3 linked regions of the Elephas maximus indicus genome follow. The protein of the gene in region 3 purifies or fractionates together with the protein of the main gene of each other region. This does not show direct contact. Links are inferred from orthologs where the notes say so. Each region holds a gene or a part of one and is shown on either strand. Other genes may lie near its edges.

The links.
Region 1: the proteins of PPP2CA (region 3) and PPP2R5B purify together in Homo sapiens (co-immunoprecipitation; 9 studies listed by BioGRID and IntAct, with this or other methods). This does not show direct contact. The link is inferred for Elephas maximus indicus from reciprocal best matches to the Homo sapiens genes PPP2CA and PPP2R5B.
Region 2: the proteins of PPP2CA (region 3) and INTS4 purify together in Homo sapiens (affinity purification with mass spectrometry; 3 studies listed by BioGRID and IntAct, with this or other methods). This does not show direct contact. The link is inferred for Elephas maximus indicus from reciprocal best matches to the Homo sapiens genes PPP2CA and INTS4.

The regions. Positions count from the first base shown.
Region 1 is NC_064825.1:128,089,431-128,093,175, reverse strand, and holds the start of PPP2R5B (serine/threonine-protein phosphatase 2A 56 kDa regulatory subunit beta isoform), read right to left. Parts: upstream 2,286-3,745; 5' UTR 1,962-2,285; intron 1,511-1,961; 5' UTR 1,239-1,510; coding exon 1,040-1,238; intron 401-1,039; coding exon 204-400; intron 1-203. UniProt on the Homo sapiens protein: As the regulatory component of the serine/threonine-protein phosphatase 2A (PP2A) holoenzyme, modulates substrate specificity, subcellular localization, and responsiveness to phosphorylation.
Region 2 is NC_064825.1:44,099,292-44,103,036, reverse strand, and holds the start of INTS4 (integrator complex subunit 4), read right to left. Parts: upstream 2,325-3,745; 5' UTR 2,192-2,324; coding exon 2,138-2,191; intron 83-2,137; coding exon 1-82. UniProt on the Homo sapiens protein: Component of the integrator complex, a multiprotein complex that terminates RNA polymerase II (Pol II) transcription in the promoter-proximal region of genes.
Region 3 is NC_064820.1:146,616,444-146,620,188, forward strand, and holds the start of PPP2CA (serine/threonine-protein phosphatase 2A catalytic subunit alpha isoform), read right to left. Parts: upstream 2,931-3,745; 5' UTR 2,582-2,930; coding exon 2,480-2,581; intron 1-2,479. UniProt on the Homo sapiens protein: Catalytic subunit of protein phosphatase 2A (PP2A), a serine/threonine phosphatase involved in the regulation of a wide variety of enzymes, signal transduction pathways, and cellular events.

The sequences.
Region 1 (3,745 bases), on a different chromosome or scaffold from region 3:
GGAGATGCGACAGGCCTGGGAGGCACTGAGTGGCCAGGTGCAGGGTGGCAGTGGGGCTCAGGAGGGGACGGAAGATGGGGGCTGTGCAGCCAAGTGAAGAATGTAGGGTTTATTCCCTGCACGGGGAACCAGGACTCCCACGCCCCTGAGCCCCCCAGAGGCTGGGTGGCGCATGCCCCCCGCAGCCTGATGCCCGTGCTCACCATGCGGATGATGTCTGGGTACACAGGCTCGATGAGGACGCCCCGTGTGCTCCCCACGCACTCCACCAGCTCGTTGAGGGCCGCCCGCTTTACCTCCTTTCCCTTCAGGTCAGCCACACAGTCCAGGAAGTCAAACACCACCCCGCACTGGGCCAGCTTGCGGCTGAGCAACTCGTGCAGCTCCGAGGCCGGCACATCTGGGGAGCGAGGGGTGCTAAGCCAAGGCCCTAGCTGCGCAGCTCTGGGTAAGGGGGTCCTCCCACCGCTAGGGCCACTCTGACCCCCGCAGAAAGCAAACAGCCCTTGTCTCACCCTCCACTCCAGGGTGTGGGGGAGGTGAGGGGCAGCTTCCTCTTCACAACTTCCTAACCCAGGCAAGATGCTGGTCTGCTTCCGAGCAAGACCACAGACAGACCTGGGGGCCTGCCTTCCTCTCATATGTGGCACCCTGTTCTACCAGCCAGAAGTGGAAGGGGGCTCAGGCCAGAGGATCCCTCGGATACCCTCTGGCTCAGCCAGTTGGACCTTGTGACCTGGCATGCGGAGACTACAGTGACAGCAAGAGGCCAGGTCACACACAGGCTCCAGGGCCCCAGAAGCTGGCTGGGCTGCTAGTAGCCTCCTAGAACCCAGGCTGCAGCCCCACCCTTGGCCTGGATCTGCCCCCCAGGGTGGTGCCACAGGCAGATGCCCCACCCCCAAGGATGACAGGCCAGTCAGGCCATGCGTCAGCAAAGAGGACTGCAGGGTCAGTGGAGTCTCAGGGCTGGAAGGGGCCCTGGCAGCCTTGGTCACCCCCCTTGAGGCTCAGGGGACCTGCACAGTGGCCAGCTCACCTTTGAGCAGGGGCAGTGGCGTGAGCTCTTGCTGGTTGCTCTGATAGCGGAACTGAGAAGAGCTGTGGGAGCGCCTGGGCCGGGCCCTGCGCAGGGAGCGGCGCGAGAAGCCATCCACCTTGTCGGGTGGGGGCACAGGCGACAGCCCCGGGGACGAGGGGCTGGTGGGGGTGCTCGCAGGGGGCAGCTTCGTCTCCATGGTGGCCAGGCAGCAGTCAAGCCTTCAGAACCCTGAGGGGTGCTTCAGAGCCTGGAGATCACTGAGTGAGGCTGGGCTTACTAACTTGGGCCCATCCTGTCGGAGCATGGGGCGGGGGGGGGGGGGGGGGACACGACCACAGTCCTGGGCCCCCCCCCAGGGCCTCTGGCAGCTGTCCAGTCCTGGGGGGCAGGCAGGCTAGAGGCAAGGATGTCTCAGACCTCAGGTCCTTCCTGGGAATCCCAGAGTCCACTTAGGGTTTCCACTTGGCTCTTTTGAAATGAAGTCAAGGCAGAAAAGTGGGCAAGAAAGAGACACAGAGAGAGCTAGTCTGTCTCTTCTTTTGGGAAAGACAGTGTTGGGAGACTGCAGTTGAGTGCCAAGTCTCTTTTTCTCTCCTACCCTGGCCGAGACCCTAAAATAGGAGTGCACTGCTCTCCCATGGTCTCCCTTCCAGACCAAAGGCCCCTGGCTCCAAAACAACCCTGATACCCGAAGCCAGACCCTCTTCCGAATGGCCACACAATCCTCATCCCTGCTCCTTACAGAATGGAACCCCTGGCCCTGCAGCTAACTCTTCTAATGGGGCCACCACTGACTCCCCAGAGTGGAGGCCTCTTCCCCATGCCACCCCTCTCTGGAACCCGGGCACCCTTCCCCACCTCAGCTCCTCCTTCCTTGTCCCCAAAGCCTCGTCGGCCCCTTGCGGGGAGGAACACTCACTTCTCAGAAACCCAGACTTTGGTCCCCAACCTCCAGGGGCTGCCCGTGGGGGTGGGAGGCAGCGACGCCGCTCAGGGCGCTGGGGCTAGGCGGCGGAGCTCCTAGGTTCTCCCGCGGGCTTCAGGGGGCTGAAGCATCCTCCCAGCTCAGCCCCGGGCCGGGGCGTGGGCTCACGGCGGGCTCCTGGCTGCCCTAGCAGCGCGCGGACCTCTATCTAGAGTCCGGGACTCGGACCCGGCGCGGCGCAGCGAAGCCCAGCTCAGTGCGCACCGGCACCCGCGCCCAGCTGCTCAGGATGACATCAAGTCACCTCCCCCCGCCCGGCCCCCACCGCCCCGCGGGCGGGGGGCGGGGGCTGCGTCAGACGGGCCCGGGGGCCTCTGGGAGATGTAGTCCCCGCGCCGCTTAAAGGGGGAGACCAGACGCCAGGGCGAAAACCCTGCATGCGGACTCCGGACTCGGGAGGAAGGCTGGCTCCAACTCTGGAAGCCGGAAAGCAGCGTGGGCTGCAGGCCTCGCTGGGGCTGGACCCCTGGCTTCTGGAAGGGAGTCTGCATGGAGAATGAGTAGGACTCAAGAGTTTGCACCAGGAAGCTGGGGGAGATGCCAGCACACTGGCAGGAAACGGGCCAGCGTGCTATGCCAGGCCCAAGGATTGCGCTGATCCACTCCCCCCCGCACGCGACCGCTATGGGAACCCCGCCCGCACCTTCACCGCAGAATAGCTGGACACTTCAGAGGCCGGTGGAGAACCGGCACTGGACGGGTTAATAGTCTGCGGCGAGTCAGGGCCTGCTGGGAGGGGTGTGGTTCACCAGAGGCTGCTGGGAGATGCAGTCCATCCTCAAGTCTGCAGTCCCCCACCCGTCCCTTGTTGGCTACGGTGACATCATAGTCTCAGGTTTAAAGGGCCAGGCCTGGAGTGGTAAAGCACGAGAGAAGGCGTCCTCCTGGCGCTGCCACGCCACCCCAGGCAGGCAGGCCTCTTTGGACGAATCTCCCAGTCCCTCTAGTCCCTAAAATGCGCTACTGGGGTTCCTGGTTCAAAATCCTGCTGCAGGCGCGGAGGTGGGGGGGTCCAGGTCCAGGTGGGGCTCCAAGAGTTTAGCATTCCAGCCAGAAGTTCTGGACTGCAGTCCTAGGAGCCTGGGCGCCAGCCCTCTGCACTACCTGTGAAATCTCCACCCTGAAGTTCTGCCTGGAAGAACTAGGCCTCAGCTGAGCATCAGGAGTGGGCAACGAGATGGAGCAGTGAGGTCAGGGAGGGGCTGGGGCCTTTTCAGAGTCTGCCCCCTCTGCCACTGTACCTGCCAGCCACCCCTTAAATCAGAATCTTCAGCAGGCTTCATCCATCTGGGCTCAGTGTACTCCTCTGTCAAATGGGAGCCCATGCTCTGTCTCCTGGCCCATCTCCCAGGCTCAGGAGGGGAAGCCTCTCCCACATCCCTGGGGTGTACAGGCCTTCCATGACCAGGTGAGGACCCCAAGGCCCAGGATGACAGGGAGGAGCCTATCATCGAAAGGGGAGAGGGTCAAGTCCCCACCGCCCAGCCTAGGTTCAAGAGGGCACCGGCTCCACCCCCTATCTCAGTCCTCAGGGGCCAGAGCCTTGGACTCCGAGGGTCTCAAGGCCAGGTCAACATGAATGGCTGGTACTTTGTATAAGGAGGTGCACCACTGAGGACTTGAGGGATGGGATGGGAACATGAGAAAAGATATAAGACTTCCTGGAAGAAGTTGCATTTGAACTGGGTTTCAAAATAGAATCAAGGTCACAGGACGGG
Region 2 (3,745 bases), on a different chromosome or scaffold from region 3:
TACACAGATCTATGTGGAGTGCTGCAGATTTACTTGGTTTTGTTAGTCGGAGTTTCTTGGCAGCAATTTCTTCTTGCTGTTGCTGTAAAGAAGAAGGGAAGATAAGACATGAAGACCTAACTGAAAACACAGATCAGAATCAACTTGATTTGGGTTTGGTTTTACTGTACATACGCATAATAAACACAAGATACATATCACTTCTCTCTCCTCACAGCAGAGAAAAAAGAACAGAAAGGCTAAGATCTCATTTCATCACTAAACCACTCATGCAGATTAAAGTGAAAAACTGCTTGCTTTAAAACCCTTATCCATTCCCAGCTTATTCTACACAAATCCAGTCTTTAGTGTTATCTCGGCTGCAGTTAAGACAAAACTTGGGGAAGATTTTTCCCTAAGAAACTATCTAATGGGGAGGACGAACTGATATCATTCAGATATCAATAATAACGTTTTAGTGAGCCAGGCCCTGTGGTCCATTCAGGTGACAAAGATGAACCCAGATGTCATCTCTGCCATCAAGGAGCCCAGAATGCTGGGAGTATACACACTGGTCACTGCAGTACTGAGCAATAAGTACAAATAGATAAGTGCAATAGAGTCCTATAGAAGCAGAAGAAAAAGACTAAAACTATCACTAAAGTTTCCATTGGATCTTGAAGCAAAAGTATAAAATTGAATTGGGTGAGGAACAAAAAAGATGGACAAATGGTATGCATTCTTTGCAACAGAACAAATACAAAAGTTTGGAGATATGCAAACACAAGGCACACTGGGGAAGTCTTGGAGAATAGTCTTGGGAAGTGGGAACAACAGTGTTGGGAAAAAAGAAAGTGACAAGTGATTAAACTGGAAGGAATACTGTCAGACTGCAAAGGGCTAAGAAGTTTGGTTTTACAAAAAGATGGTGATGCAAAAGAGAAAGGAAGAAACATTTGATTTGTCAATGCAATTGTCTCTCTGTATTACAATTACAGATATGTTCTCCTGTCTCTCCCATTAGCCTGTGAGTTCCTTAACAGCAGAGACCCTGATGTGTACTGGACTTTGTAGACCAACACTTTTCACAACGCCTGGCACATAGTAATCCCTCATCGACTCAATAAATTCTTGTTGAATGAATGAATGAAATGTTTAAGGATCAGCTTCCTACTGGATCATCTAGGCCTTGCTACTCCACAAGTCTGAAACTCTAAGGATGGTTAAGGATCCGAAGCATTGACATCAATTGGGAACTTGTAGGAAATGCAGAATATTGCCTCCCTTCCCCTCCCTCAGCCTGACGGACATATTGAGTAGAACTGACATATTAACAATATCCTCGGGTAATTTGTATACACAACAAAGTTTGTGAAGAACTTCCCAACGGATGATTTGAGATCAGCCTCTACTTCACCGACAGCTAAATGGAGACATGTAGAGCATCAACGGCTGCTAAACGGGAGCTAAACCCACCTTTCTTAAACAGCTTCAAAGACACAAGATCACCCTCCTTCGTAGGGCAGCTGTTCCACAAATGGAGCGTTCTGCCTGCTTTGACACGTGGGCCTTGAAGACCTCTATAGACTCTTCTTCAAGTCCCTTGTGTTCTTGTTGAGTGCAATCAAGTCGATTCCGACGCATAGTAACCCTATTACAGAGTAGAACTGTCCCGCAGGGTTTTCTAGGCTGAAATATTTACGGGAGCTGATCGCCAGGTTTTTTCTCTCGCGGCCGCTTATAACTTTGCAAACTGCCACCTTGCCCCTGGAGGTTTTTTTGGAGAAGTTGGGAATTGGACTAGTAGGCACTGTGTCTTCGTACCCCTCCGGAAGCCTCAATAACAACATCTGTGAAACTAGGATAATGTAACCCGATCTAACAAGTTGTGTGAGAAAACAAAATGAGATAACGGATGAAACAAAGTTCGTAAAATGTAAAGTGTCATTTATTTATTCTAATAATAAGAAAAATTGCGTCAGGCTATTAATGACAACAGTACAGGCAAACTAACACGCCCACTAACGTGTACTCTCAGAAACCCTACGATAGAGTAAGCGCTCAACACTGGTTGGCGCCTGTTCTGGCAAAGTGCCTGGAGCCTGGATAACCGTCCCCGCCGCGGAAGTGTCCTGGGAACTTTGATGCCGACGCTTACCTGAACCACCTTAGTGAATTCTTCGTACACTCGCTTCTTAAGGTGCGCCGCCATGGTTGCCCACGGGCCCTCGCAGCTTCCGTACTCACCACCGGAGGCGGGGTGGAGGGATCCGGAAAACCGGTCAAGGCTGGACAAATTCGCCGCTATCCCACAAGCCAATGGGGCTCTGGGAAAGAGAGGCCACTTCCTGCGGCTCTACTGCCCCGGAGCGGTACGGCCGGGCTTGTCCGCCTACGCCTCGTGCGCCGGGGGGGACGAAAACGGAATCTTAGCGTGAAGGGGCGGGGCCTCTGCCGGGAGAAGACAGGACTGAAAGGGTGAACGAGCCAATAGGAGCTTCTGGGGGATTGCTGGTGGTCTGAGAGTGGCCCAGAGGCTGGCGCTGAAGTTGAGCGAAGGGAAGGAGGAAATATAGATTAACGGGCAGAGGCGGGGCGATTCAGAGCTAGAAGCAAAACCTGGAGATATGTAAGGGTTTTTGACTGGCAAAATAGCGGAAGGAGGCCGAGCTGAGGTTCCTATCGTCCTTTGTTGTTTATAATGCTTGCTAATTGTCGCTTTCTTGAACTCCGTTCAAGCCGTGCGCCACCCCTCCTCTGGCCCAAGGTGCCTTTTCTTCTTCCCAAACTACGGTTATTCAAAAGCTGTCCATCCTTTAAGGAGTCGCTCTCTCTTCTGATAGCTACCAAACCAAAACCAAACCCGTTTCCATCCAGTCGATTCGGACTCATAGCGACCCCATATGGCAGGTTCCAAGGAGTGGCTGGTGGATTCAAACTGGTGACTTTTTGGTTAGCAGCTGTAGGTCTTAACCGCTGCGCCACCAGTACAGTGGAAAGAAGGCCCAGGCCCAGTGTCAAAAAACTAGCCTTCAAGCTAGTTTTTGGCACTTGACGAGCAAGTGGCCTCAACTACGAATGCACTGATAATGCCTAACCTGACGAAAATGTAGTAATGACGAAACGAAACGTGGAAATATTCTATACTGTGGAGTTCATGTGTTAGTATTAATAAATCCAAGGTGGAGTTTTACGCAGTACATCAAACTTTCGCTGTTCATTGTTCTTTTAAGAGTTAATGTAAGATGCTTAGAAAAAGCAGGAGGCTGTGCTAGGTACAGAGGACCAAAAAATGCATGCAAGAGCTACAACCAAATTGGGGAGACAGACACTCAAACTGATCATTACAGTTCAACCCCAAGTGCTGGATAGCGGAAGAATGCAGTTCAGACAACTTCCTCAGGATGCCTCAGGGAAGCCTCACAGAGAAGAGGATTACTAATCTGGCTCTAAAAGAGTAAAAGGAAAGACATCTCAGACTACAGCACATACAAATGCATCAAGTGAAATGAAAAGCACTTTGGCAAACTGCCTGCAATAAATGATGTTGTTAGCTGCTATGGTGTGGAGAAGGATACGCTATCCGTTGCCCAATCCTCTGCCATCCCCATGATCTGTTGGGGCTCAGACAGTTGTGATCCATAGGGTCTTCGCTGGCTGATTTTTCATAAGTAGATCACCAGGCCTTTCTAGTCTGCCTTACTCTGGAATCTCCGCTGAAACTTGTGGAGCTTCATAGCAACATGCAGTCCTCCACTGGAAGACA
Region 3 (3,745 bases):
TGGTGCTACTGGACATACAAATACTAACAGTGAAAAGAGAACTTTTGTTTCACTAGATTACAGAGAAGACCATTTCAAGTCATGCATCCTAACACATCCCACATATCTAAAAAGCTGTCTTCAAATAATTTACTTTGGAAGGTTAATATAGTTCCAAAAAATTTGGTGTATTTACAAGCTAACATCAGAATGACAACTATGTTATGATACTCCCCCACAAAAAGGATCCATTCCATTGGAACCTTTATGTAATACCTAACTTCAAATACTACGTTCATCTTTTTGGCTGTCAGAACTCAAACCTAAACATGCTGACTGAGCAATGCAGATCTGAGAATAAGTGATTAGCCTCACTATACCTTAGTTTTACAAAGATGTGGAAAACAACATTTACCACCCCACTTTAGTCTCCAACACAAACTCTCTACTTCCACAGTCCACCTCCTTACTGACTACCATGCCATGCTTGTCTCTCCAACTGAATTCAAAGCTCCTTGAAAACAGGCTTTGTTATTCTTTGTTGCTTTTCACTCCCCGCATAAGAGTAAGCAATCCTGGATAGTCAACAGATCTCCAATACTTAAACACAAAGTACTAATTTATGATGAAATTGTATAATCTTGCAAGATTAGAAGTGACCTTAGAACATTTGTTTTAACTCCTTATACAAAGGAAAATGAGGACCAAGTGATGTAATTGCTCCAAGTTCAGTCACAACTACTAATTCTGTGGCAGAAACAGGACTAGTATCCAGGTCTAACTCGCAGCTCAGTGGCCTTTCAATTACATCATTACCTCTCTCCAATGTTTTCTACACAAATGACTAGTCGTCTAGCAAAGTCTTTATACAGAGCAAGTACTGAACCCTAAAACTCCATAAAATGATTATTTATAGTACCTAGAAATTAAGCCCTTGGCAATATATTCTAAGTTTTTAACAGCCTAATCTTTAAACCTTTGAAATACATACCAACCTTATCTAATTGAAGAACTTTAAAATTAAGGGTCAAGAAAGAAAAGATTCAGTACACTGCTATCCATTAAAATTCAGCTCCAATAGATGATGTGCCACCTCATCAACTGGTAGTGGAGTTTTGCCCAGACTTGGGATAAATAAATCTGAATTTGACTCACTTAAATTCCTATTATTCACAGCAGCTTCTTAAAAAGTCCGTCTCGGGAGCATATGCATCAAATTCATAATCCTGATTTTCACATTAAACCACAAACGAGTCAGCGTAACAGCTCTCCTGTAACTCTTTTCACTAACACAACATACTAACATGATATCGCACTATTTTATATTAAAATGAAATGCTGCAAAGGTAATTTTGAAAAGGGAAGTTAAAATGTTCATAGAGATCAGCATTTTCTATACATTAGAAAACGGGGTTCTAAGAAATACAACACAGCTGAACAAGTAATAGATAATCTATTAAGCTACCTGTTTCACCAACACCCAAGGAAAAACTAGAATTAGTACAAAATTAAAGTTTAGCGTTATTAAGTGGGCTATGACATTTCACTTTCAACATCTGTGAAATTATTTATTTACACACTAAGCAGTGTCTGCAATACACTGTCTGGAATGAACTCTATCAACAGCTATCATTACTACTACTACTACTTGCAGCCACAGAAATACAATTAAGTAACTTTTTCAAAAAAGACCCAGGATATAAAACTTGCCGTCCTTCCAGTTCATCATTTTAAAAAACAAATGGCAAAACAGCAAGTATGTTCAGCTTAGGAAAGGGTTCACACTACCCAATTTGAATCAGCGTATAAATCATAAATTAAGCCGACACTTGATTTCCAATTCAATAGCTCCTTATGCAGTGTGACTCACCAAATTCTCCATTTTTTCCAACTATGAAGAATTAGTTACTCCTCCTCATAACTACCGTGACCTTCGCAGAAACTGGGTTAGAGACTTATGTATAAGATGTTTAATACAAACCACCCAGGATAGTGCTAAAGCTCTATGACCTTTAGACAGGTTCTGGGATCTGGCCTACTTGCTTGCCTTTGGGGACTCTCTGCACAACGCTGAATCTAAAAATTATGCCTGAACACAAGTAAAAAGCAGCTTACCCACCTCACAGTGGAGGCCTAGGCCCCATTCCCGGGCTGCAGAACCCAAGTCCCTTTACCTGAATCTCAACACCGTCCCTGACCCTGATATACAGGGTCTCCGCTCCCCCTGCCACCCCGCCCGGCGCCGAGGGCCGGAGCCTCAGAACCCCCTGAGTCGGGGGAACGGCGCCATTTTAGGCGGCGGCGGCGACAACCAATCCTTCAGCGAGAGACAGGGGGCGCCGGGTCGCTCGGGAGCCGCCGCCGGGCCGCGCCGGGCGCCGGACTGGGAGGCTCGGGGGGCTCTGGCCGGCGGCCTCCGCCATGTTGCACCCTCCCCACAGGCACCCCTTCTTGGCAAGATCGGCCCCGCGGCAGCACCCGCAGCTGGAGTGCAGCTCACCTTCTCGCAGAGGCTCTTGACCTGGGACTCGGACAGCTGCTTGCACTCGTTCAGCTGCTCGATCCACTGGTCTAGCTCCTTGGTGAACACCTTCTCGTCCATGATGCCACCCGCCCGAACCGGCTGCCTCTCCGCCCTACTCCCGCGCCGCCGCCCGCACACGGGCCACACGCACACGCCGCCGCCGGTTGCCGGAGTACTACTGTGGCTACTGGCGGTTGCTCGGCGCTAGCGCTGGCCCACTGGGTGGCCCCGCAATGCTCGGCCACCGGCCGCTGCTCCTCCTCCGCTGGCTCTAGCTCCGGAGCTCGGCTCTCTGTAATGGCGGCCGCCCGGCGTGGTGACGTCACGCCCGGCGTCAGAAGGCGGCGGGTGCGGAAGAAAAAAAGCGCCGGGACACGAGCGGCGCAACTGCAGATCAGATCCTGGTCTACCGCAAGAACCGAGTCAGAGGGGACGGAAACTAGGAGCCAACGCGCAGGCGCATTCTAGCCGGCTAGTAACTGACGCACCTTCTCTTTTAGGGCGTGGTCTCCCAGAAGGGAAGGCTCGCGGGGTGGTGGGATAAAAAAAAACCGAATCCGCGCAAGCGCTGTGCCTGCAGCTGTGAATCGGGATTATCTCCGAACGCTACGCCCTACGAGACGCCCGCGCGAGCTTCGCGCAGGCGCAGTCCTCGTAGAAGGGGGCTTCCTAGCTGAGACTTTTCACTTGGGGAGGCCTGGTAAAACGTGTTAGTTCTTCACCTGGGGATTGGGATCCAGATCATGGAAACGAGAAGGCGACCCCATGGCTCCTCCATGGTTCAACAGCACTGGAATTGCGTGGGATTCACACATCTCTGGGGGCAGGGACAGGGCACCCACTCACTGGCACCCTGGTTGGAGTGACCACCCCGCCCCTGGGCGCGGCTCACCCCTTGTAATTAGGTCACACGTGGGCGGAGGAGAGTGTACCTGCGGAAAGCACCTGACTTCCGCCACACACCTGTCCCTGGGCCCGGGCACTCGTTGGGCGCAGTGATGGAGGCTAAGGCTTGGGGCTTCTCTCGCTCTCGCACGGCCTTTCCTGTTGTCGCCTGCTCCAGGTGTGCCTCCTCCTCCGACTCCAGTTTCCCCGGTAATGAGAGACCCCAGCCGCTGCCTGCCTGGCCTCCTTTCTAGAGGGACACACCGGTCCTGACCGTGTCCCAGTGGTGGTAGAAGCAGCTGTGATTCGCATTTTAAAGCAAACTCCAATACCATAGAATCGGACCTCTGTCTAGTT